Arabidopsis thaliana: one gene and its partners. The protein of the gene in region 1 binds, or shares a complex with, the protein of each later gene. Each region holds a gene or a part of one and is shown on either strand. Other genes may lie near its edges.

Region 1 (7,094 bases):
GTCTTTTCAATCGATTATATCAATCCGGTGTCGAAGACAGAAATTCTACGACAGAGGGAAAACAAACGGTACCGTAAATATTTTCCGTTGTAAGCTAGACCGAGAAGCGAGCTGCGTCTCCGTCGCATTATGATTCGGATTCGGTGTCGGGTCCAGGTCCGGGTATGTCGAGTCCGTTACTGAGTTGATGTGATCATGTGAATGCAGAGAACGTTATAGCAGAAATGCAAACTCGATTCATATATAGAAAGGCTACAATAACGGATCCAATATGGGCATTTAGTAGGCCTCTTTTAGCGTGGGCTTTCTTTAATCTCAAATTGAGCCCATTATTATTTTTAATTCGAAATCATGACAAGTAATTATTTTTTAACCTCGAAAACTAAGTACGTTTTACTGTTGTTCAGGATCTGTCAACCAAATTATAATCGTGTTTTATATGTTGGTTCAGCGAGATATCATGACAGTTGACAATAACAAAATAATTTTCAAAGGTATTCTCGAGGCGATATCATGATATGCTAGAAAACAAATATCAAAAAAAAGGAAAGAACTTTCTAATATCAATTAATCAATTCACATAATAAAACAAATATCAAATGTTAACGGTCTTTTAAGGTAGGGTGTCTTCGTTTAGGTTTTCTTGATTTTGTGCCTGAAACAAATTTGCACCAAAGTTACAACTCAAAACATATAGCCGAATATGAGTTCTCTTGTCTCAAACATAACGTTTTTTGAAGATATTGTGTCGTTTGGTTGGGTCTTTAGGTTTCTTGGATTGGTTACCAGATTTTTGACGACCTGAGTTGTATTCCATGTAGACCCTTCCATTTGCACCGGACATTGCACTCATCGATCCCATGCTTCGTCGCGTCTTTAGAGCCTTTCCATCTGTGTCTTCTTCAAGTTGTTCTAAACCAACCATATCGTCTCCAGCATTCAACACCTTTCCGAGAAGAGACAACTGTTCTTCTTGACTGTGGTAGCCCAAGCTTGAACCCGCGTCCGGAGGTGGGAGGCTTGTTATTACCTTGAAGCTATAACCTTGGTCGATCAAAAACTGCTGTCTTTTCGTTGAATAATACATTTCCTGCATTTCAACATTCACGATCCTTACATCAGTCATTCTCCATTCAATCAGTCATTCGATTTTTATCGGTTCAGGAATTCAAGTCACGGGTTCTGGAAAGCAAAATTTTTTCTGTGTTTTGGAAACGAGTGCGGACTAGAACTGAATTATATTTTGGTTCTGATTTGGTCTGATGAATTTCAGTTTTTATGGCTACTTCAACAATAAAGTGATTTACCTGTGTATCGGTAGAAACAAGCGAGTAGAAGAATGCATTGTACTCTTCTTTTCCACCAGCCATTCTATCTTCAAGTTTACCCTGTTTTTGATCACGGAGAAATAAAACGTGTTGGATCCAACAACCAAGAGGAACTCTAGGAGAGACGCAAAATGTGATGAGTTATAATACTTAAAATCACACCTTAGCCCTAAGGATACGACCCAAACGTTGAGCCTCTTGACGTCTAGAACCAGCATGTGACGAAATCTGGATGATCACATTCGCTTCAGGGATATCTATGGAGTTATCACCAACCTGTAGTCAATAAAAGAAACCGAAACTAAGTTACTTGATGAAAATGGAATGAACAAGTCTCTATATATTCCCAGGTCAATGGAAAGGAAACAACGCTAATACCTTTGACAGGAATACAGTGTTCACGGTTTTACTGGTTTTAAACGCCTCGAGAATTTTTGTTCGTTCGATATGGCTACATATTGAACAAAGAGAACTATCAGATTGGAAACTGAGTGAAACATACAAAATTGTGCTCTCAATAGGTGGTTCTTTAACGAACCTGGTTGCACCGTAAATCATCGGTTTCCGGAGTTTCATTGCATACTCTGTAAGTGCAAAAAGATTGTCTGCAAAGACGATGATTTTATCCCCACGTTGTTGTTCATGGAAACGTATCAAAAATTCACAGGCTCTGAACTTGTTAGGGTTCATGACATAAAGCGCCTGCAGACACCAGAAGACAAGATATGTAAATGTCAGAACAATTGAAGGGGTTTCCTAGTTTCTATTACAGGGTGATCTATTAGAAGCATTTGCCAAATTATAAGACATACACAAATAACCTATAATATTGATGTTTACCATATTATAAGGTTCTAGACTACATCAAATTCATGGACTCTAGTGTATCAAAACAAACAAACATAAAATAAGATAGTCAATTATTTTAAGATCTTTATCCAGTAAAAATATCCAAGGAAAACAAAGATCAATGCGGAGAAAGCTTAGACGCATTAACCTGTTTTTTTTTCGAGTTCTCTTTCTTCAGATATTCTGCAAAAAACTCTTTGGTCATGGGACACCATACTTCAGCACACTGAACATTTGCAATAAAGCCTCCTTTAACTAAATCTAGCCAATTGGCTTCATAGAGTTTCGGGCCAATGAGGAAGTTTAAATCTGTAATTTTTTCGTCTTCTCTCACAAGGGTGGCTGAACAAAAGACCAAAAAAGAGACTTAGCTTCTGCAACTGAAGTATAACAAATAAAAAGGTATGTGAAAATGAATTTTTCATTTACCTGTAAGTCCTAGCTTGCAGTGAGATTTTGTAATACTGATAACTTTCCTAAACATATGGGCTGGAACCACATGCACCTATGAAAAACATAACTCTTAAAATGTCACGCATTGGATGGAAACTTGTTATTTGTAGATCCCAGTAACACTGGATAGTGGATACACATTCTAAATGAACCACATATAACTTTTCCGCAATGTAAACTACCAGTAAACACTAACTTCAATTCAAAGGCACATCACACTAAGAACAATTTGATTACCTCGTCCATAAGCAGCAACCCCCACTCTCTGTTTCTCATTTCTTCTATAATCTTCTCTGCTTCTTCAGATCGTTTACCACCAAAGGCAATCATATTATAGGTTGTCACAACAACACCAGCATTTCCACGGAATCGTTCTTTACTATCAGAAGTGAAACGGCATATTTGGTCATCTTTTATAGTAGACCACAACTTAAATTGGTAGGCCCATTGATCCACCGAGACAGCATTCGTTGCCAAACAAAGACAACTCTTCTTTATACGAGCCGCTGCAGAAACACCAACTAGAGATTTACCAGCTCCACAAGGTAACACTATAATCCCAGATCTTGCTCGTCCTGCAGAATCAGGAGTCTAGATCAGTCACAAGCTTTCAGGAGAAATAACAAAGATACTTATCTATTAGAAGTTCACAATGAAGCTAGATCAGAACAGTGTATGAAAGTACAAATCTATATATCTAAGAGAAGTTCACAATCAATTTAGCAGTCGCTGTAAACAAATTACTAAGGAAAATAAATGCGGGCGTAGACAGTTATATCGTATTACCGTTTCCAAACATTTTGCTCAAACTTTTTTCCTGGTATGGCCTTGGTTGTGCATGGGGCTTCAGTTCCATGTCAAGATCAGGATTAACCTGACAGACACCATCAAGTTATTAACAATCACGAACATCCAGTTCATATCATCTGATAAGTAAAAATTGACCTGAAGTGTGATAATTATTTCTCACATTATCGTTCCTGAAGTCATATTCCTCTAACATAGGGTAATTCAAGGCATTTGGCAAGCAACGCTGCTTAACATTCTCCACCTACACACCAAGAGCAGAAGAACATGACACCGTGAGTTGAGTAAAGATCATATAACATTAACAAAGTCATCAACACGATTTATTTCAGAAGCATTAGGGGAAATTTACCAGTGCAGGGTCTATCTCAAATGAGTGAGTTTCTTTCTCTTCTGCTGCTGCTGCCAATTCTGCTTCATTCAACAACTCCCCAGGTCCTGCTTCAAGTTCACCACTTGTTTTGCCGATCGTAAATCCATCACCACCATAATATGGCTAGAAAAAAAGTTAATAAGTTGGTTCAACATACTGTGGAGAATACAATGGTATAAGAGATATCAATTTCACATTCAATGAACCAAGGAGTTTAAAAAGAAGGATAATGAGTTTATTTATCTATTAAATAGTTCAAGAAAAAATTAGAATTTAAACACGAAACCAATAGCCCCAAGAGAATCAGGATAGATCTCTCTGCCGCATTGGTATCAAAAGATGCAAAAACTGTTGAGAACAACAGATCATGGTATGTATTTCCATCCAGTAATAGTAAACATAAAGCACTAAATTGAGGAGTTCAACATACCTCAGAAGTAAATCTTGCTCGATTTATGACATCATCACTGAGAAGCCTTTTCAACACCTAAGATTGTTTATATTTAACGAGTGAGCAAAACCAACAGAGAAACTACACAAAAATCCCATACGCATAACTAGAGAAAGAGGATCAGTCTGGTGAACTTACCTCCGGGAATGGTGATTCAATAAAATACCGATTTTTCTTCAATACCAACTTCACTTTCCCATAATTAGCAGTAGAAGCATGGATGAAATCAATGATCTCCCCGGGTAGCTTGGTCTTAGATAGCTTATTCAAAACAGAGATGATAGTTTCTGTCTCAAGACCAACGGAAACAGCAGCATACAACGAGTGTGGGGTTAAATTATACTCGTGCATTGACTCAGGCCTGAAATAGTAACAAATGAATGAAAATCAACAACAAAAATCATAACTTGTACATTGATATAATAATCAAATCAAAATCAAACCTGCAAACGGGTTCAGCAATGGCGATAAGAAAGTCATAAGCTTGTTTATAGAGAGGAGAAAATGTCTCCAAGAAAATCTTTCCATCAGCACAAGCCCACAAAGGCCTATTTCCATGATCCGGCTTCAACTCCAAATCAGTAAAATCTCTCCTCTTCTCCTCTCCTTCACCTTTAAAAACCATTATAAATTCTATTTCAATTTTGTTCCCAATGTATCTATGTTAATTATACGAGAGTAATCAATATTACCATCACGAGAATCCTCATCAGCATCATCATAGTAATCTTCAACGTTTTGTATGTTCTTCATCTTTTGATCATCCTGAGATTTTTACAGTACAATTACACTAACTAGAAGTGAAGAGCCTAATAAATAAAAAAAGTCATGTGGAGAAGAATCAACACGAACCTTCCCACCGTACTTCATCTTCTTTGTAGGTCGTTTTCTTTCATCTAAACATCAACATTTTCCCCAGTATTAGCATACTCTTTTCACCGGATAATTCAATAAACGAATCAAAACTCAGTACGATCGAGATTCGAGACCATTACCGTTTCCCATATTGATTTTCTTCTTTTCGCTCCTCTTAATCAAATCGATTTTAGGGATTGTTTCTCTTGTATTTTCAATTTGTGAATTCGCACATAACCTAAATTGTACGACGGAGGGAATATACAACCGTCTTCGTGGTAATTTCCCGTTGTAAGCTATTCAACGAAGCAAGCTGCGTCTCCGGCGAATTCGGATTCCTGTGTCGAGTCGGTGACTCGTTTGAAGCGGAGGAAGGAAATTGTTAAGCAGAAACGTAAGAACACGATTCATATATAAAGGCTGCAGTAACAGATCAAATATGGGCTTTTAATAGGATTCTTTAAATGGGCTTTATTCTTAAGTTTGAGCCCATGTTTCTTTTTTAAACATCGATAAATTATTTGCCGGAAAAAAAATAGTAATAATTTTACTGAAAATGGTACTTCCCAATTTATAATTTTTTGGTCGACACTTTTCAGCCGATTTTCAGTTATGTAATTTCATTATTGAAATTTTGAAAAATACATTGTAACGGAAAAAATAAAATAATTAATCAGCTAATTAATAATTGTATTAATGAATTTAATAAATCAGGTAAGTAAATATAATATTGAGCCCAAAAAGAGTCTTTGTAATTTCTTAGGAAAGTCATTTTGATAGAGCGCACGATAAACACAGCACCGCAAAAAGCACAGAAGCAGAGAAAGACGAAGACAAAACAAAAAAAGCTTCCCCCAAGAACAAAAAGTAAAATTCTCTCTATGATTTTGAGATTTTTAATTCCTCTTCTCTGATTCAATCTCGAGAAGATGATCGGTTCTTCTTTGGTGTTTGTTCTTGCTAGTGATCGCTTTTCTTTAGGTTTTGAGCTTGATTTTTGTGTGAAATTCTGTGGGTTTTTTTTTTACTGTTTTGATCCGTATTTCTCCTATGTGTTTATGCTAGATTCTGAGAATTCTGATGTTTATTGTTGCTTTTATAAGTTTCGGTTTAGGGTTTTACGGATTAGCTTGCTCTTAATGGAGCTTTGGTTCTTTTTGTGGATTCATTGTTTGTGTTGGAGTTAAATTCTGAGTAGAATTGTTTTAAGTTTTTGGGGTTTAGTGTAAAACTGATTTGAATTTATTGCAATTGTGTGTAGATGGTGCTAAAGAGAATGAGAATTGTAGGAGATTCACATAGGCTTGTAGTCGCAACACTGTTGTCTCGATTTTAATGGTTGATGTTTATTGTATCTTTGATTATTGAGAGTGAATTTGAACTGTTAGTAGCTGAATTGTTTTATTGTTGCTACTAGCATGATGAGTCTGATCAGACTTTAGTAGACAGCTCAAACTGATATCGAAAACGATAAAGCTTGTTTGAGTTTCTTGCATATAGATGATAAATATTCTCCTACTGATCTCAGAATGTAATTTGTTTCTTCACATATCTTGTAGGTTAGCATAGATGAAGAGTCTTCGGGTTTTGTAGTTTTTGTAAAACAGAAAAAAAAAAAAAGAGAAGAAGAGATGGGAGGTTGCTGTTGTTGTTCTTCTTCACGAAGAGCTGATGTAGATAATGGACCTGCGTACTACTACGTTAGTCTGATACTTCTCCCACTTCCTCGTTTTTTTTGGGTGTCCTTGCTTTGATAGGCTGCAAATAAATCAATCTTGATGTGCTTCAGGACACTAAATGAGTTAAAAGCCCCAACGGGCTTCGAGATTCATATGGGAATATAACTTGTTTTATGACTTGTATTTTGCAGTACCCAAGGGCAACAGAAGAGCGTGTGCCTTTATCTTCCGCTCATAACAGGACTTCCTCTGCAATCTCTACTGGTGTTGTAGTAGTAGACACAAACTTAGAGACATCA
Region 2 (5,942 bases), on another chromosome or scaffold:
ATATAAGTCTAAGTATGTTTTGGGTCTTTTACCAATACAGGAGGCTCAAATTGAAGACTACTTCAAACCGATAGACAAGCATGCTAGTACCATAATGGAAATTCAGCTCGAAGGAGAGAAGAAAACGATGGGGACAATGATGAACGCAACACAACAGGAAGCTATACGAAAGATTGAAGAAGCTGAGAAACTCGCTCGGGCACGTGGAAATGCAAATGTGACTACAGATGCAAACATGGGAGATAAGATCCAGGATTCAGAGTCCTCAGCCAACGAAAAATCTCAAGCAAAATGAAGTCAGATCTTGTCTTCATGTTGACACAGAATAGATTCAGCGTCTCTGAATACATCCTCTTAGTTGATTAAACTGAGATTGTAGCCTCGCATTTGCTGAGGTTTTAATAATTTTGAAATTTGGTCAACTGAATAGAATCAAAACCGAGATTGTGTTCTGTCTAGCGTACAAGAAATTATAGAGGTGACCCTGGTTGGACCATCCCCAACGACCACGTTTTGTCAATATATGTTGTTTCAAACTTAACTTCGCCTAATAAAGTATATTGTGATTTACAATGGATCGGTCTTACAGCTTAAAGGTTTCAACTTTCAACTTCGTGGGTACCAACACCAAGTACTTTTCCTACGTTTGGGGTGCGCATGTGTTAGCAGGATAAAAACGATGGTAACTAATAGAGTAACAAGACATCAAATGGCTACTCTTTTTTCTCTTTCTGCTGAAACCTCACGAAAGACATAGTTTGTAGAATCGAAGCATGATGTTTTGTTTTAATACGAGAAGAAAATGTGAGTTTCTTCTTGTTACCTGCTTTGGGTATGAAGAAACTCACGCATCTGATTGTGAACTTCGGATTTCACAACAAGTCGCATTCTCTTAGAGTCTTCCCAAAGAAGGCCTCTCCATTCCCGAGCAAAGTCACAAGCTGCCTCAAACACATCCTGCTAACATGATTTTGGTTAATGAGATTTACTATAACGGTTTTGCGTTATGGAGAAGAGAAAATAATAAGAGGGTTCAGGTTTGTTACTTTTGAAGGAAATTCATCATAGAAGTGAGCCTGGGTCATCTCAATTCTCTGCAGATCTGTCTCCCAAAGCCGAATCTGCCAGAACAATGCATTTTTATTCAACATAAGCCTGATGAATCAGGACGTAGAGATAGTATACACTTTCAATTCTATAAACCAATCCTATACACATTTTTGTATAATCGACACTTGATGGGCATAGAGAGTATAAACCTGATCAGTGACATTTTCTGGAATAGATGGGACTCGATCAGCACATCGTGGATGAGAATTCTGCTGGAGGAAAGTTATAATCTGTGACAATCAAAAGAAAAGGAAAAAATATTTATTCAGAAACTATAAAGAGACGCATCAACAATTTGATCAACATTTCAAGGACAGTGAGGATCCGGGCAAAATCATGTATTCGATAACTTCAAAATGTTTTTCAACTGAAACCAACTGTACCTGATCTGATGTGATGCCATTGTCAAATGCATTGTACAAACTTTCCTTTGTAATGGCACAAGCAATAAGGTTTGGAAGTTGGTACTCTATCCTGGAAATAATGAAGCACCAACTACTTAGACCTAAAGGATTTTAAGACACAGAAGAGTAAAGTTTCAGGTCGATGTTCAGGAGCTTCTACCTCGCAAATAGTCGTAAAATTTCACACTGTAACTTAGATGTGGAGTACGCATACATTCTGAAGTTTGTTTCCATCACGACAAATCCCTGATGAGGAACAACAAACAACAGCGATACACAAAATCAAGAAAATTGTTGGTAGCAGGTAGATATGGGACAAGAGGGGAATAAAAAAGGTGTGACCTCTTTTCGCGCTGATGAATCTGCCAGACTGACTGATAAATTTGTAGCCAGTTTAGTAGGAATAAACCAACTGTCTTTCCTTCCCTTCAATAATCATAAAGACTGGCTCAGCATGTGATATAGTTCTATAATCATAACTTTAGCAAAGTTTTTTTTCTTTTGATATTTGGTAATAAAAAAAATATTACAAATGGTCTAAGTCTAACCTGTTGAAGCTTGACTAATCCCAAGTCTGCAAGGTCCTTGAGGGTATTGTTTTGAACCTCTGTCAAGGTATTTAAGTTATATGCCTGCAATGTGTAAGCTCACCGAAATAATTAACAAGCATCCCGCTAAATCAAGTAAGAGTAAAAACAAGAACAAGAACGCTTGAAATGACTTTTTTGTGAAGTTCTGTTATACCTGACCAGTAACATGAAAACTAAGCTCCAACAAAAACGAAATCAAGTCTGCTGGATCTACATCTCGCTCCTGAGAAACACTGGCATTGGGTTATCCATTCGGCGAAATAGAGATATCAATTTCACAAAACCTTAGGAATAATACAAACCTCGGCATTCAATATGTATTCTCGAATAATGTACCAAAGCTGGGCATTTGTATCCATCAGCTGAAAATTGAGGTCAATCAGGTTACTTACATGAATACAGGTAATTATAGACCACTGACTCACGATTTGCATACCAAAAACTGAAAGCCACTCTCAGTTAATCTCGGGCCATCTTTGTCTCTGCAATATTACATGAAGTGTATCAAATAGGGAGGCTATATGCCACCACTATGCATCTATAGACGTGTATGAAAACATTACCTCTGACTCAATAAACCTCGCTGAAAAATTTTCATCATGGATGAACTGATGCCAGTTAGTTTTTCACCTTGACCCGAATTTATAAGTTGTAGCAAGAAACACTGACAAACATAAGTACACATCATCAGATACTAACCAAGTTCATATTAAAAGATATTTGTTTTACAAATTACTTCCACCTTACTAGTATTATCAATAAGAAATTAGGAAATACACACACCTCCCATTGCTTAAGTGCATAGGTTTCGAGTTCTTGTAGGCTTGGAAGTTTAATGGCATTGTCGGAGTTCATAGGCTCTCTAGGCAAAACTCCACTGCAAAATTCAAATTTAGCTCATCAGCATCTTCTCCAAAAGCCTAGAGAAAAAACGAAAAAGGAGAGTACCGTCAATGTAAAGATGTCTTTACCCGGAAATAATATGTTTCTGAAGATTGTTCTGAAATGTAGGATTTAGGCTGTAGCTGGTTCCCCTTTTCCTGCAAAAGTACGAAGAGCAGCTTAAGAACTAAATCTGAACTATCATCTTGCCACATACAATCATAATCAATCCAAACACAGTAAATTGAAGTATAAGATGAAGCTCATAGGGTTCAATGCTCAAGTTAACATCCACCATCACTCTTTTAAATAAATATATCAAATAAACCCTCCAACGTGAATAGACAGAAGTATTGAACTAACTGAAATAAGTCAAATCATGACAGTATCAAGAATAAAGCAAGAATGCATACCTATCACTAATTTCTGAAAAAATCCTTAATTGAATCAGTCGATCAATAGCAACTCTATGTTTAGAGGTGCCATCTGCGAGCACCCACTCCTCCATCATCGTAGCAGGTACAGGAACATCAATGTACAACATCTGCAATACATACTTCTTGGCAAGAGGCGGCAAAGACCTGACACCATCTTAAGAATGTAAGATCCTCAATTTTTTCAAAATTCAACAACATAGACACATAAATTAACCTGAGAATGGCTTCGCAGATAAAGACATTGTTGTAGAGTTTGTCAAGCTTGATGGCTGGAAGTGACGCCACCATGTCCATGAAATTTTTAGCAATGATCTTAACTTGCGGCATCTTCACCAATTGGATTCCCTTACTCACTGGACCGGTTCTAAAAGAGCACAGTTTCCACGAAATTAGGGTTTATGCCACACAGCGATCAGCTCGAAGCAAACCTAGTTAACTAAAGCATCTCCTCAAAAAAAACAAATCCAAAACAGTTCTAAACAAGAACTCCAGAAAACAAATAAGGAAGGATTTAAAGTTTCGGGTTCGAGTTTGAGAACAATACAGAATTGAATTTAAAGTTTAGGTTCTCTCTTTTCTCGATGAGCTCTTCTACAATTGATCCCGATTATTTACTACCCAGAATCAAAGAAAACTGACGAAATCGATCGAAGAGGATGGCCAAGATAAATTAAGTTTTAATGGGCCTTGTGAATACTACTAATGGGCCTATCTATATAACAAAAATCGCGCCAATTTGTTTTCATGAAAATGGTTGATTAGGGAGAGATATATGCTTGACTGACCAAAATGTAAACAAAAAAAGCTTACGAAACGTTTGATCATCATCTGATAAATTGATTAGTACTGATTTATTCCATCAAAATCAAACTCATACAAACCATTACAATCTTCTTAGTGAGACACAATACATAAATTATATATGAATCTACTACGATTATTTATATTATCATCATTAATTATATTGTCCTAGAGGGCATTATTTAAATATATTAGCCATTGCATACAGAAACCATAATAAATACTATATGATAAAAACACACTGATGAAAAGTGAATCAATTAAGTAAGTAGAATGTTGGAGTCGTAGGTGGCTCCGGCAGTCCAATCAGCGGGAATAGCGTTTGGCGATTGGATCCAATTGATTCCTGCGCTTCCGTAGACTAAGAACCTCAATGTGAGAGTGCCTCTAGGTGGATTCTGCAAATCATGAACCGCTCCAAACACTCTTCTCATACGTCTCCACTCTTTGCAATCCTCCTAAAATCATACATATACATGCATACCATATAATAACGTTTAACTTTGTTTCACAAAATCATCTAAGAGTAAACTATATATTTTGATCCTCAAAAACATATATCTAAGTTTCTCAACATCTTTGATTAAATTTACCTGCCAGACTTCAACGGCGAGGATGTCATTAACACCACCAACGTACAAGACAAGGATGGCAAGATAATGAGGATTGTAGCTTTTCTCATGGATCTTATACACCAGATTATACCCTGCGTATCGGCAAGGGATCCTTTGGTACTCAACGTTGACTACACCGAAGGAGTAGAGCTGATTTTCTGTGCCGGGTCGCGCCATACGTCCGTACGCCTTAGGGCTTAAGATGAAGTCCGTGCCATCTCCTTCTCCGGAGTCCGTAGCCACTACGTATACTCCTTCCTCACTGCAGTGTGGTGGTATCTTGCACCTCACCTTTTTATAATTCATAAAATAAGTTTTTTTTTCTTTCATAATATAAGTTTAGTAATTAATGACATAGCATATACTATAATAATATTTGATGAAATATTGATTGAGATAAGTAGATAACTATATATAATAACCTGGTAACAAGCACCACAGCCAGTTCCATTGTTCCATAGTCGCCATGAAACACCACTCACTTCACCGTTATTGATATCTCTTCCAAATTCTCCATACCCACAATGTCCCCCTGCATCATCAAAAAATTAATTAATTATTCTTATTCTTTCGACAAATATTATGTATATTCTCATAATGGAAAGTTATCATTACTAATTACGCAGTTAATGGACACTTAGTGGACTCGTTTTCAATCATATATGTATTTAGAATTTGAATAAACCTTCAAAATAAAACAAAACAAGAAACCTATACGTAGATATAAAACAAAAATAATTAGTTATGGCTTATAGTGAGATATTACACCAATGTATCTTTTACCAATATATAACGTGTACAAGTCTATACAACAACTAAGAAAATGAAAAAGAATTAAGGTACACGATGTATATAGCAATAACAATTTTAATACGTACGAGGATTTGCTTTGCAATCGGGGCTGCCATAATAAGTAGCTCTAGAGTTAACAAAATCGTCGGATAGACAAAGGAGAGGCAAAAGGACAATGACTTGAACAAATAGAAGAAGCAAAACGTGAGAATGCTTCATATTGTTGTTATCTTATCTATAAATATTGTAAGATTATTAATACTTCTAACTCTTTTTCTTAACAAATGATAGGAATTGATAATAGAATTTCTT
Region 3 (4,442 bases), on another chromosome or scaffold:
ATTCTTTTTAGATGATTTGGATTACCGAGCCCTTAATATTATTAAATCACCCACCTGGTGGCCAAAGCACCCGTATCAGAGCTTTTCGTTATGGTTATCTCATCTTGGCGCATCTTCAGCGTAAATTCCGAGACAGAGGTAGTAGAGTATCTTCTTCTTAAAGGAGATCGAGATCGCTCTCGCCATTCATTCACCCTCCGTGGAGTCGCTCTTATTTTGAGCGGAGGAAGTTGATCACCGAGGAAACCAGAGATGGCGTCTTCGAGATTCCAGTCGAATCCTTCAAGGTAGTAGAATGCTGCATCTTTACACGCAGACGTTGCCTTGCAGAACCTAGTGACGTTAGTATCTTCTTCCTTCATGGTGGTGTTAGGGACTTTTCTCAAAGATTAAGTACGTTGTTTACTTATGACAATCACTAAGAATTGTTTCACTTAGATCTAATATAAAAGCTTCTAACAAACAGAGAGATATTTAGGGAAGTAGTTGCGACCTTGTCATGACAGTATCAACAAACAACTGATGATACGGTCTCCTTTTGTTTACCACCGAAATAATTCTTTATTACTACTGTTCGTTTTCTCATGAGTGAAGAAATTTCAAGCCCAAGTTAAATAGAAAATCAAACAATTAAGAATGCTATCTCTGAAAATTTGAGTCGGTTTGTTTTGGATCAATTGTGAGAGAGCAATAGAGTCCACAAAAGAAGAAAGATTTTGGTTAAGGACATAAGACCAATTACAACATCCTATATCACAAAAAAAATTGCTTCCTCTCATCATCTCAATTGTGATTTATAATTGGAAGTGTGAACACATTCATTCTCTCATTCTTCCATCAAAGAAACTGATTTGGGACGGTGAATGCTCTCACAGCCAGGACAGTTGTGTAAGCTCTCGTGGATGTATATGTCACAGTCCAGACAGAAATAGTGCTTGCATTTACGACATGTTACGCATGGGACGGGTTTATTCCCTAAGCAAAAAACAAAAGCACCAATGAGCCTTTATATTTGAGTGAATGGATCGGTTACTTTGTATATACTATGACAAGGGTGAACCGTATCTTAAGTTCAACTACTGGTCTAGTGACCAAATGGTTATTCAACCAACAGTATTAAGACTCTATAAAATGGTGTTCAAGTAGTTACCTGCACCAATTAGGCTCTGTTGGCAACCAAAACAACTCTTTCCCAATTTTCTCCGATTATCATTCAGACTTGAAAGTGCAGGCACCTCATCAAATGGAGCAATCGGGAAGAGATGATGGTATGATCTCGCCAAATGCGGCGAAGAAACAAGTGTTAGACCGCAGATAGTGCATTCCGTAGGGAGGTCACATACCCGAGCTTTGCATCTTGGGCACATGTAACCAGCTCCAATCTTAACTTCCTTATGACACGAACAAATCGCCATTGAACCCTCAGCAGCTCTTTGTGGGAAACCCATCTTGATCAAATTTGCAATTGCAAATTCTGCTATTGCCGGAGGTGGAGGCGCATGTTCAAGCAGAAGATCCTTTAGATGCACCTGCGTGAAAAGACAAATACACACAAAGCACAATGTTATACCATACAAAACAAGTTTTTCAAAGGTCCAAGTGTAAGTAGAAGGTAGCTAAACTCACCTCGTCCACTGCAACTGAATACAATCCGCCAGTTTCCTGGCAGAGGTGTTTACATATGAACATTTCTGCAGAGAGCCCAATTACAGAACATCTTAATTTGGATTTCTTGCATTTTTGAATGGTCTCCATGATATCGCCTGGATCACATGTGCATAAAGCTGAGTACAATATCAGAACCTCGCGGTGACCATAAGATGGAACCTGGTTGAGATGCTCATGTACAAGTTCCAGAGCGTTCTGCAAAGAGGAGTCACCCAAAGCTTCCAACTTCCCCATCAACGCTTTGATGTGAGTCTCAGGACTACCACCAAGATCTGTTAATGTATGCGCAACTCCATTTTTTATAGAGACCAACCCAATTTGACTCAGAGGATTCTGGTCAAAGAACTCTCTAATGAAAGCTTCGACATGTTTGGCCATTATAGCCATCCGGCTTGGTCTGAAATCCATTTCCGCAGCTGCCTAGACACGACAAAACAGTCCAAAGTGTAAGACTTTGCATACCTTGGAACTAGAGAAATTTGAACCCAAATCATAATGTTGCCTTCAATAAAGAATCTGAATAAGGATCACATCCTTAAGCTCTACAAACCCACTTAGAGTAAGATTATCATTGCAAACAATACAGAGCCAATTATAGAACCTATTGAGAAGACTAAAGAGCAGAGATCTCCAAAACTAGAACGACGATTACATTAAAGTTACTTATCAGTGACCCAAAGTGCATAGTTTCTCTTTTATATAAGCTCTGATGAAAGCAACATAAGCTCAATTTCACGCCATCAAACTCAAAGGAAACGGCATTGAAGCTAAAAATCACAAAATCAGCAGCAGCAGCGGCGGATTGCAAAGAAAAATATTTACCCGAGAGAAGTCAATGACGATGTAGAGATATCGAATAAGTCCCTTTTGGATACGAGTACCAGCAGCAGCGGCGGAGAGCATACGAAGACGGCGGCGATACTGAGCATGGTAAATGGCACTGTTATCAATTGGCCGTAAAAGTCCAGACTCATCCTCTTGCAACTCCTCCCAGGATCGGTCGTCAACATAAGCTCTCTCCCACTCGCCGATACCTTCCGCATCTTCGTCGTCCTCTTCTTCTCTTTCATCGTTTGATCTCTTTCTTTGATTACTCATCGTTAACCTCACCGTCTAAGAGACCTAATTACAAAAAGAAGAAGAGAACTCTACTGAAGCCAAAATTTACATAAACAACCCTTACTTATTATAACGTTCACAATTTTGACTGTAACTTCCTATTCTGTATATTTAACCCACCAATCCATGTCCAATCAGAAGTGAAACATTTTATTTTGCTTACACAATAGGAAACATTGATATTGAAACTCATAAAAACTTTATTATACAAAACTTAAATCACTCGATACAACCTTTATACAGCAACATTGAAACTTCTTAGTTCTTACAGCACAATATGATAATTTACCTAAGATCTTATTGAATCTTACAAACATATAGAACTTCTTCTTTGACTTTCTCTATCCACATGGTTACACATTAACCAAAGGTCTTGGCCTTTTAAGATTTAGGTCCCAGAATTTTCGAAAGCTCCTTCAAGATTGGTTTCTCCTTGATAGTATTACCACCTTCATTCTCAATATGCCACTTCTTCGACATGTTTTCAGCCTGAAATTTATGGTCTTTTCGGGTTAGTCTATTAATGATTATGATCCACTTCAGTTGAGAAGATGCAAGTATCTTTGTAAAACATTACCCAAGTTCTTAAGGGCTCTACTTGTTCCTTCATCGACTCCAGTTTTGGCTGAAAAAGATCTTTGCCTTTCGTTCTTATGTCATCAGCCTAACAGAACGAAAATCATACAATAAAACCAAGTAAGGCGATGATGGCATTCAAGATCAGTCAATAATGCTTAGAAATGCTAATCTAAATGATTTAAGTAAGAAAATGGAAACATATGCAATCTTACATTACGCATGTCAAGTTTCGAGGCTGCCGTTCCAAAAACCAAAGTGGCTGAACCAAAGATGATAATAGTAGCGGCTGCAAATGCTTTTCCAACTGCAGAAACCAGAAAAATCAGAGGGCTCGAGATTAGGCAAACTTTCCGAACACTTCACGACATCAATTAACATTAAAAGACAAAAGACAATAACAGAATCTCAATCTAAGCAATATTATCAACAATTTCTAGGCTGTGAGAGAGATACTTAGATTATTTGTCATCAGAGTCAAAAAGAGACAACCAGAAAGCAGTTGTTACATTAGACACTCATGAACCCTCAGCCACGGAAAATCTTGGCTTTCATAACCAAACAAACCAAAGTTTTCTCTAGTAAGCTGAAACCTTTCAGAATTACTGCCATTGCAGTCCCTAACAAGGTAAAATAGACAAGTTTGGGCAAGCAATTTACATGATCAACATTAACAAAAGCAAGGAAGTGAAAACAGAACACGTAAAGATAGCAATCCTTCTATCTCTAGCAAACAACCCAAATCTAGTCATGTTCCTCTGTAGGTAACTGTATCCATAAATCCAATTATCCACGTTCAAAAAGATTTGATTTGCAGATAAACAAAAGAAGAGAAGTGATCATACTATGTTGAAGCCCTTCACCAGCAGCTTTCAATTTCTCAGGATTTACAGGAGTGCCGTATCTGTCTCTCCTCAATTCATTAGCTGTTGACGCCAAAACCGAATTCTCAGATTCCGGTAAATCCCATCTGCAATAAAAATCGACACAAATTAACAACAAATCCAAAATTTTGAAATACTCATCAAGTGAAACAGAGTATAAAACCCTAATTTGAACCTTCTACGGCCGAAAGTGAC
Region 4 (3,407 bases), on another chromosome or scaffold:
TAAATCAGTTCCCTCACATCTCGCAGACCAATTCGATTAAAAACATGAACTTTCGGACATATTAAGAGGAAAAGGAACAAACTTGCAGATTGAGGCTTTAACCCAGAATAAAGCTTGATGCTACAGCTGCAAAAAGGACATAACAAAGCAATCAGATGCAAGTGAATATGTGTGAACAGAGACAAAAGTATGTAAATTTAGATAAATTGAAGATTACCTCGGACTCAGAGAAGGCTGGTGAAGCGTTGTATTAAACGAGACCGCCATGGTCGTCGAGCGTGTTAGAGCCGAACACTAGATTTTTTGTTTGTTTTATTTTAAGACTAGAAGAAGTGGAAAAGCTTACATACAGATTGGGTAATTTGTTGAAGAAGATTGGTTTATTGGTTTGCTTAACCGAATTGGTTCACATGTGCAAATTGTATGTGGTTAACTTAGTTTCTGATTTTACTTGGTTCATCCTTCATGAGTAAAATGAAATTTGGAACTTCCGAATTCTTTAATCTGTTTATTATCTACTACAAGTAATTGAACAATAACCAAACAAACGTGTTTATTCAACAAAAGAGTGACAAAGTAATCAACACAACCAGAGAAAACCGACTGATACTAAACCGGTACAGAGAGATTATTTGTCAACAAAGTTCACTTTAACTCTATTAAAGCATGAGCCATATCAACCAATCTCACGATCTCAATGAAGTTTTTATTCATTTGAATCAAATGAAAGAAAAACAAGAAGCAAGTGTGATGTGATGTGATCTAAGAAGTGGGCTTCTCGTAAGAGTTTTGATCTCTAAAATCAGAAATGGCGCTGCGGATCATCTGCTCTACATGTGGTTGCACGAACAAGTGAGTACTATCAAGTACATGAATTATGAATTTCTGAGACGGAGGCATCGAATTGTTCATGTTCACTATGAATTGTGTCATCGGAATATCGCTGCAAACAAACAAAAGATACAAAGAAACAATGAATGATTCAATTGTGTTCATCAAGATTTGCTTAGGAATCGTAACAACGGTAAGAAGTACCAAGAGACGAACACTCCTTTGATTGCATTAACCATAAGTAAAACCTGTAATACAAAACACGAATAATCTGAGCTCAATTTTCATCAAAAGATGACCCAAGAACATCCTCGATAACTCAGAACATAGATGAATGAAAGATTAATCCTTTGTTTCAATTCAAGGACCCCAAATTACTAGATGCAACGATTACATAACTGGGGTTTCGCTACCTAAACACCACAACATAAACTCGATTCCCAAATCTTAAGACTTTAACGATTACAGACCAAATAGAAATAGGATGAAACCAGATCAATTTGGTCTAGAGATCAACCACACACCTGTGAAACCACACGAAGAAGATTGGAGGAATCAATCAAGAGGGTAAGCGATGTTTGAGGCAGAGAAAGAAATCACCTTGATAACGACGATTATTGTCACAGTAAAGGAGAGAAGGATTAGCTTTATAAGATAACCTAATTACAAAACTGAAACAGAAGGTTCGGATCATCTTTTAAGTTATCGTTTATTACATCACTCAAAAGGGTTTCTCACTTTTAAAAGTCAAAGTTCACATGAATTAACTTTTTTTCTTCTTATATTTGAAATTATTCAGTTTCATTGTTACTGTAACCAGTAGTTTACGAGCTTGATTGCTTGTACAAATAATGATCAAGACATAAAAAAAACAGTTAATCTGAACATGTTTCTAAGAAAGAAATAAATACACAAATCTTCCTGCCACTAATCTTACAAACATCACAAAGCAAACACTTTTCCTTGCTTTTTTTCATGTCCACAAGCATGTCGCTGTATCTTTAAGCGTAGTGTCAATAAACCGAAGAAGATGGACCATGTCTTCTTCATTAGTCAGTCCTCGTAATCATCCAGCGCCGAATAAATCATCCTACGAAAAAAAGTTGCAAACAGAAAGTGTTTTAGCTCTCTTGATCTACTTATGGTTAAGCAATAATGGGATTCGAAATATCTTTCTCGTTACCAGAAGATAGTGAGAAAGAGGTTAAGGACAATGTAAGCAAGCTTGAACAGCCGTTTCTTCTTTTCCCAGTTAAGCAAATTGAAGATCTCGGTGACATCTACTAAGTGTTGTCGCTTCGAGTAACTGAACAACGGAGAAACCGAAAGGATATCAATACCACAACATTTGATTGGAGCAAAAGATTGAGATTAGTTGGACTTACAGATGGAAGTTGTAGTATAGATAGGGGAGACATAAGAGTGTCATGAACCAGTGTCCTGTTAGGAGGTAGAATACGCATAGAACTCCTTGAACAATGAACTCCGGTAAAACCACTGAGTTTATTCTCGACGCAGAGTCGTAAGGGTTGATGTAATCAAACTCGAGATCCGCTAAGCAAACAAGCTGCAAATGAAAGAATTCAAATTCAGAAAAGAGAAGTTAGCTTCCTAGAAAATGTCTTCCCAAGCTGTTTATACATGGAAGATTCCGTTTGCTAGCTTATCAGTCTCAGTGACTCCTCTCATTAGAGTCTACACAAACAAAACTAAAGGGTTCACTTCATTATGCCGAAATGGAGCTCATTTATAAAAGAACAACCTGTGCTTAAGGAGGTAAATCCTCAGACCTGACATGAACATCCAACATAAGAACTAACTATGAACCTATAAAAGTGTTTTGAGAAGCCAATACGCACTATATATGTTCCTGAATTTACTCCTTTGATGATAACATTCCCAAAAATTACACCTTTACTTCTTCCAAACATGTGACAAGAACATAAAACCCTAATTCTAGCTAAATCACAGACTACCCAGAAACAAAAAAAAGGCTCCAAATGAATCAAAATGGACAAATATGGTATCATTATAACCGTAAGCGAAAAAATTGGCAAATTCCGATAGAAAAGTTAAGAACTTTGGGTTTATTTATCCTAGAAATTGGGAATCGCACCTGATAGACGATGATTCCGACAAGAGCGATGAGGAAGAAGAAGGAAATAAGCCATGTCCAGATATCTCCCATCTTCCTCCTTTTGGTTCCGACAATTTCCTCGGATCTATCCTCGTTGTTTCTTGGTCTTCTCTCTCTCTCTCTCTCCTCCCAATAATGTTCGATGAGGAACAGAGAGAAAGTTAGGACAACGACTTAGTGGTCGGCTAGTTTTGACAGTTGAGCTCGAGATTCTGATCGGAAACAAAGAAGCCTAGAGAAGGCAGGCACGAGACTCAGCTTCCGGTTCAGTTTCCGGTTAAAATCGAATTCGTTATTTCCCGAAGTACGTACCATTTACGCCGGTTTAATATTTCAGTATTATGAATCTATGATTTATAAGCCATTGGGCCTCTATAGATTTAGCCCAATTAAATAGTAAACAGTTTGGGTTTGGGCACGAGAGCCGTGTAATTTTTGT

The links.
Region 2: XPB2 (region 1) and AT4G17020 share a complex: the UniProt entries of both Arabidopsis thaliana proteins name them as parts of the 7-subunit TFIIH core complex.
Region 3: XPB2 (region 1) and GTF2H2 share a complex: the UniProt entries of both Arabidopsis thaliana proteins name them as parts of the 7-subunit TFIIH core complex.
Region 4: XPB2 (region 1) and AT1G12400 share a complex: the UniProt entries of both Arabidopsis thaliana proteins name them as parts of the 7-subunit TFIIH core complex.

Annotation. Positions count from the first base shown.
Region 1 is NC_003076.8:16,542,746-16,549,839, reverse strand, and holds XPB2 (homolog of Xeroderma pigmentosum complementation group B 2), read right to left. Parts: upstream 5,501-7,094; 5' UTR 5,267-5,500; coding exon 5,257-5,266; intron 5,158-5,256; coding exon 5,114-5,157; intron 5,027-5,113; coding exon 4,954-5,026; intron 4,874-4,953; coding exon 4,705-4,873; intron 4,623-4,704; coding exon 4,400-4,622; intron 4,298-4,399; coding exon 4,241-4,297; intron 3,934-4,240; coding exon 3,790-3,933; intron 3,682-3,789; coding exon 3,601-3,681; intron 3,505-3,600; coding exon 3,417-3,504; intron 3,206-3,416; coding exon 2,868-3,205; intron 2,683-2,867; coding exon 2,607-2,682; intron 2,520-2,606; coding exon 2,326-2,519; intron 2,031-2,325; coding exon 1,867-2,030; intron 1,780-1,866; coding exon 1,707-1,779; intron 1,605-1,706; coding exon 1,491-1,604; intron 1,389-1,490; coding exon 1,308-1,388; intron 1,091-1,307; coding exon 719-1,090; 3' UTR 656-718; coding exon of another isoform or gene 603-655; 3' UTR 513-602; downstream 1-512. Other genes in the region: AT5G41350 (RING/U-box superfamily protein), read left to right, coding at 6,452-6,454, 6,676-6,816, 6,987-7,094. UniProt on the Arabidopsis thaliana protein: ATP-dependent 3'-5' DNA helicase/translocase; binds dsDNA rather than ssDNA, unzipping it in a translocase rather than classical helicase activity. Component of the general transcription and DNA repair factor IIH (TFIIH) core complex.
Region 2 is NC_003075.7:9,577,333-9,583,274, forward strand, and holds AT4G17020 (transcription factor-like protein), read right to left. Parts: upstream 4,108-5,942; 5' UTR 3,751-4,107; coding exon 3,638-3,750; intron 3,568-3,637; coding exon 3,400-3,567; intron 3,145-3,399; coding exon 3,076-3,144; intron 2,982-3,075; coding exon 2,888-2,981; intron 2,769-2,887; coding exon 2,668-2,768; intron 2,587-2,667; coding exon 2,541-2,586; intron 2,467-2,540; coding exon 2,407-2,466; intron 2,328-2,406; coding exon 2,259-2,327; intron 2,147-2,258; coding exon 2,063-2,146; intron 1,941-2,062; coding exon 1,857-1,940; intron 1,761-1,856; coding exon 1,675-1,760; intron 1,585-1,674; coding exon 1,494-1,584; intron 1,341-1,493; coding exon 1,260-1,340; intron 1,122-1,259; coding exon 1,047-1,121; intron 958-1,046; coding exon 824-957; coding exon of another isoform or gene 820-823; exon of another isoform or gene 735-819; coding exon 641-734; coding exon of another isoform or gene 607-640; 3' UTR 543-606; downstream 1-542. Other genes in the region: AT4G17010 (transcription factor IIIB), read left to right, coding at 41-295; EXLB1 (expansin-like B1), read right to left, coding at 4,485-4,682, 4,818-5,129, 5,261-5,370, 5,717-5,849. UniProt on the Arabidopsis thaliana protein: Component of the general transcription and DNA repair factor IIH (TFIIH) core complex, which is involved in general and transcription-coupled nucleotide excision repair (NER) of damaged DNA and, when complexed to CAK, in RNA transcription by RNA polymerase II.
Region 3 is NC_003070.9:1,448,087-1,452,528, forward strand, and holds GTF2H2 (general transcription factor II H2), read right to left. Parts: upstream 2,816-4,442; 5' UTR 2,767-2,815; coding exon 2,491-2,766; intron 2,089-2,490; coding exon 1,627-2,088; intron 1,530-1,626; coding exon 1,151-1,529; intron 976-1,150; coding exon 827-975; 3' UTR 545-826; downstream 1-544. Other genes in the region: AT1G05040 (UBA-like domain protein), read right to left, coding at 55-362; AT1G05060 (coiled-coil protein), read right to left, coding at 3,169-3,276, 3,365-3,451, 3,579-3,670, 4,209-4,333, 4,423-4,442. UniProt on the Arabidopsis thaliana protein: Component of the general transcription and DNA repair factor IIH (TFIIH) core complex, which is involved in general and transcription-coupled nucleotide excision repair (NER) of damaged DNA and, when complexed to CAK, in RNA transcription by RNA polymerase II.
Region 4 is NC_003070.9:4,219,959-4,223,365, reverse strand, and holds AT1G12400 (Nucleotide excision repair, TFIIH, subunit TTDA), read right to left. Parts: upstream 1,540-3,407; 5' UTR 1,356-1,539; intron 1,080-1,355; 5' UTR 1,071-1,079; coding exon of another isoform or gene 1,036-1,070; 5' UTR 997-1,035; coding exon 763-996; 3' UTR 501-762; downstream 1-500. Other genes in the region: CLP2 (CLP protease proteolytic subunit 2), read right to left, coding at 83-126, 218-267; AT1G12390 (Cornichon family protein), read right to left, coding at 1,885-1,921, 2,015-2,137, 2,217-2,398, 2,948-3,019. UniProt on the Arabidopsis thaliana protein: Component of the general transcription and DNA repair factor IIH (TFIIH) core complex, which is involved in general and transcription-coupled nucleotide excision repair (NER) of damaged DNA and, when complexed to CAK, in RNA transcription by RNA polymerase II.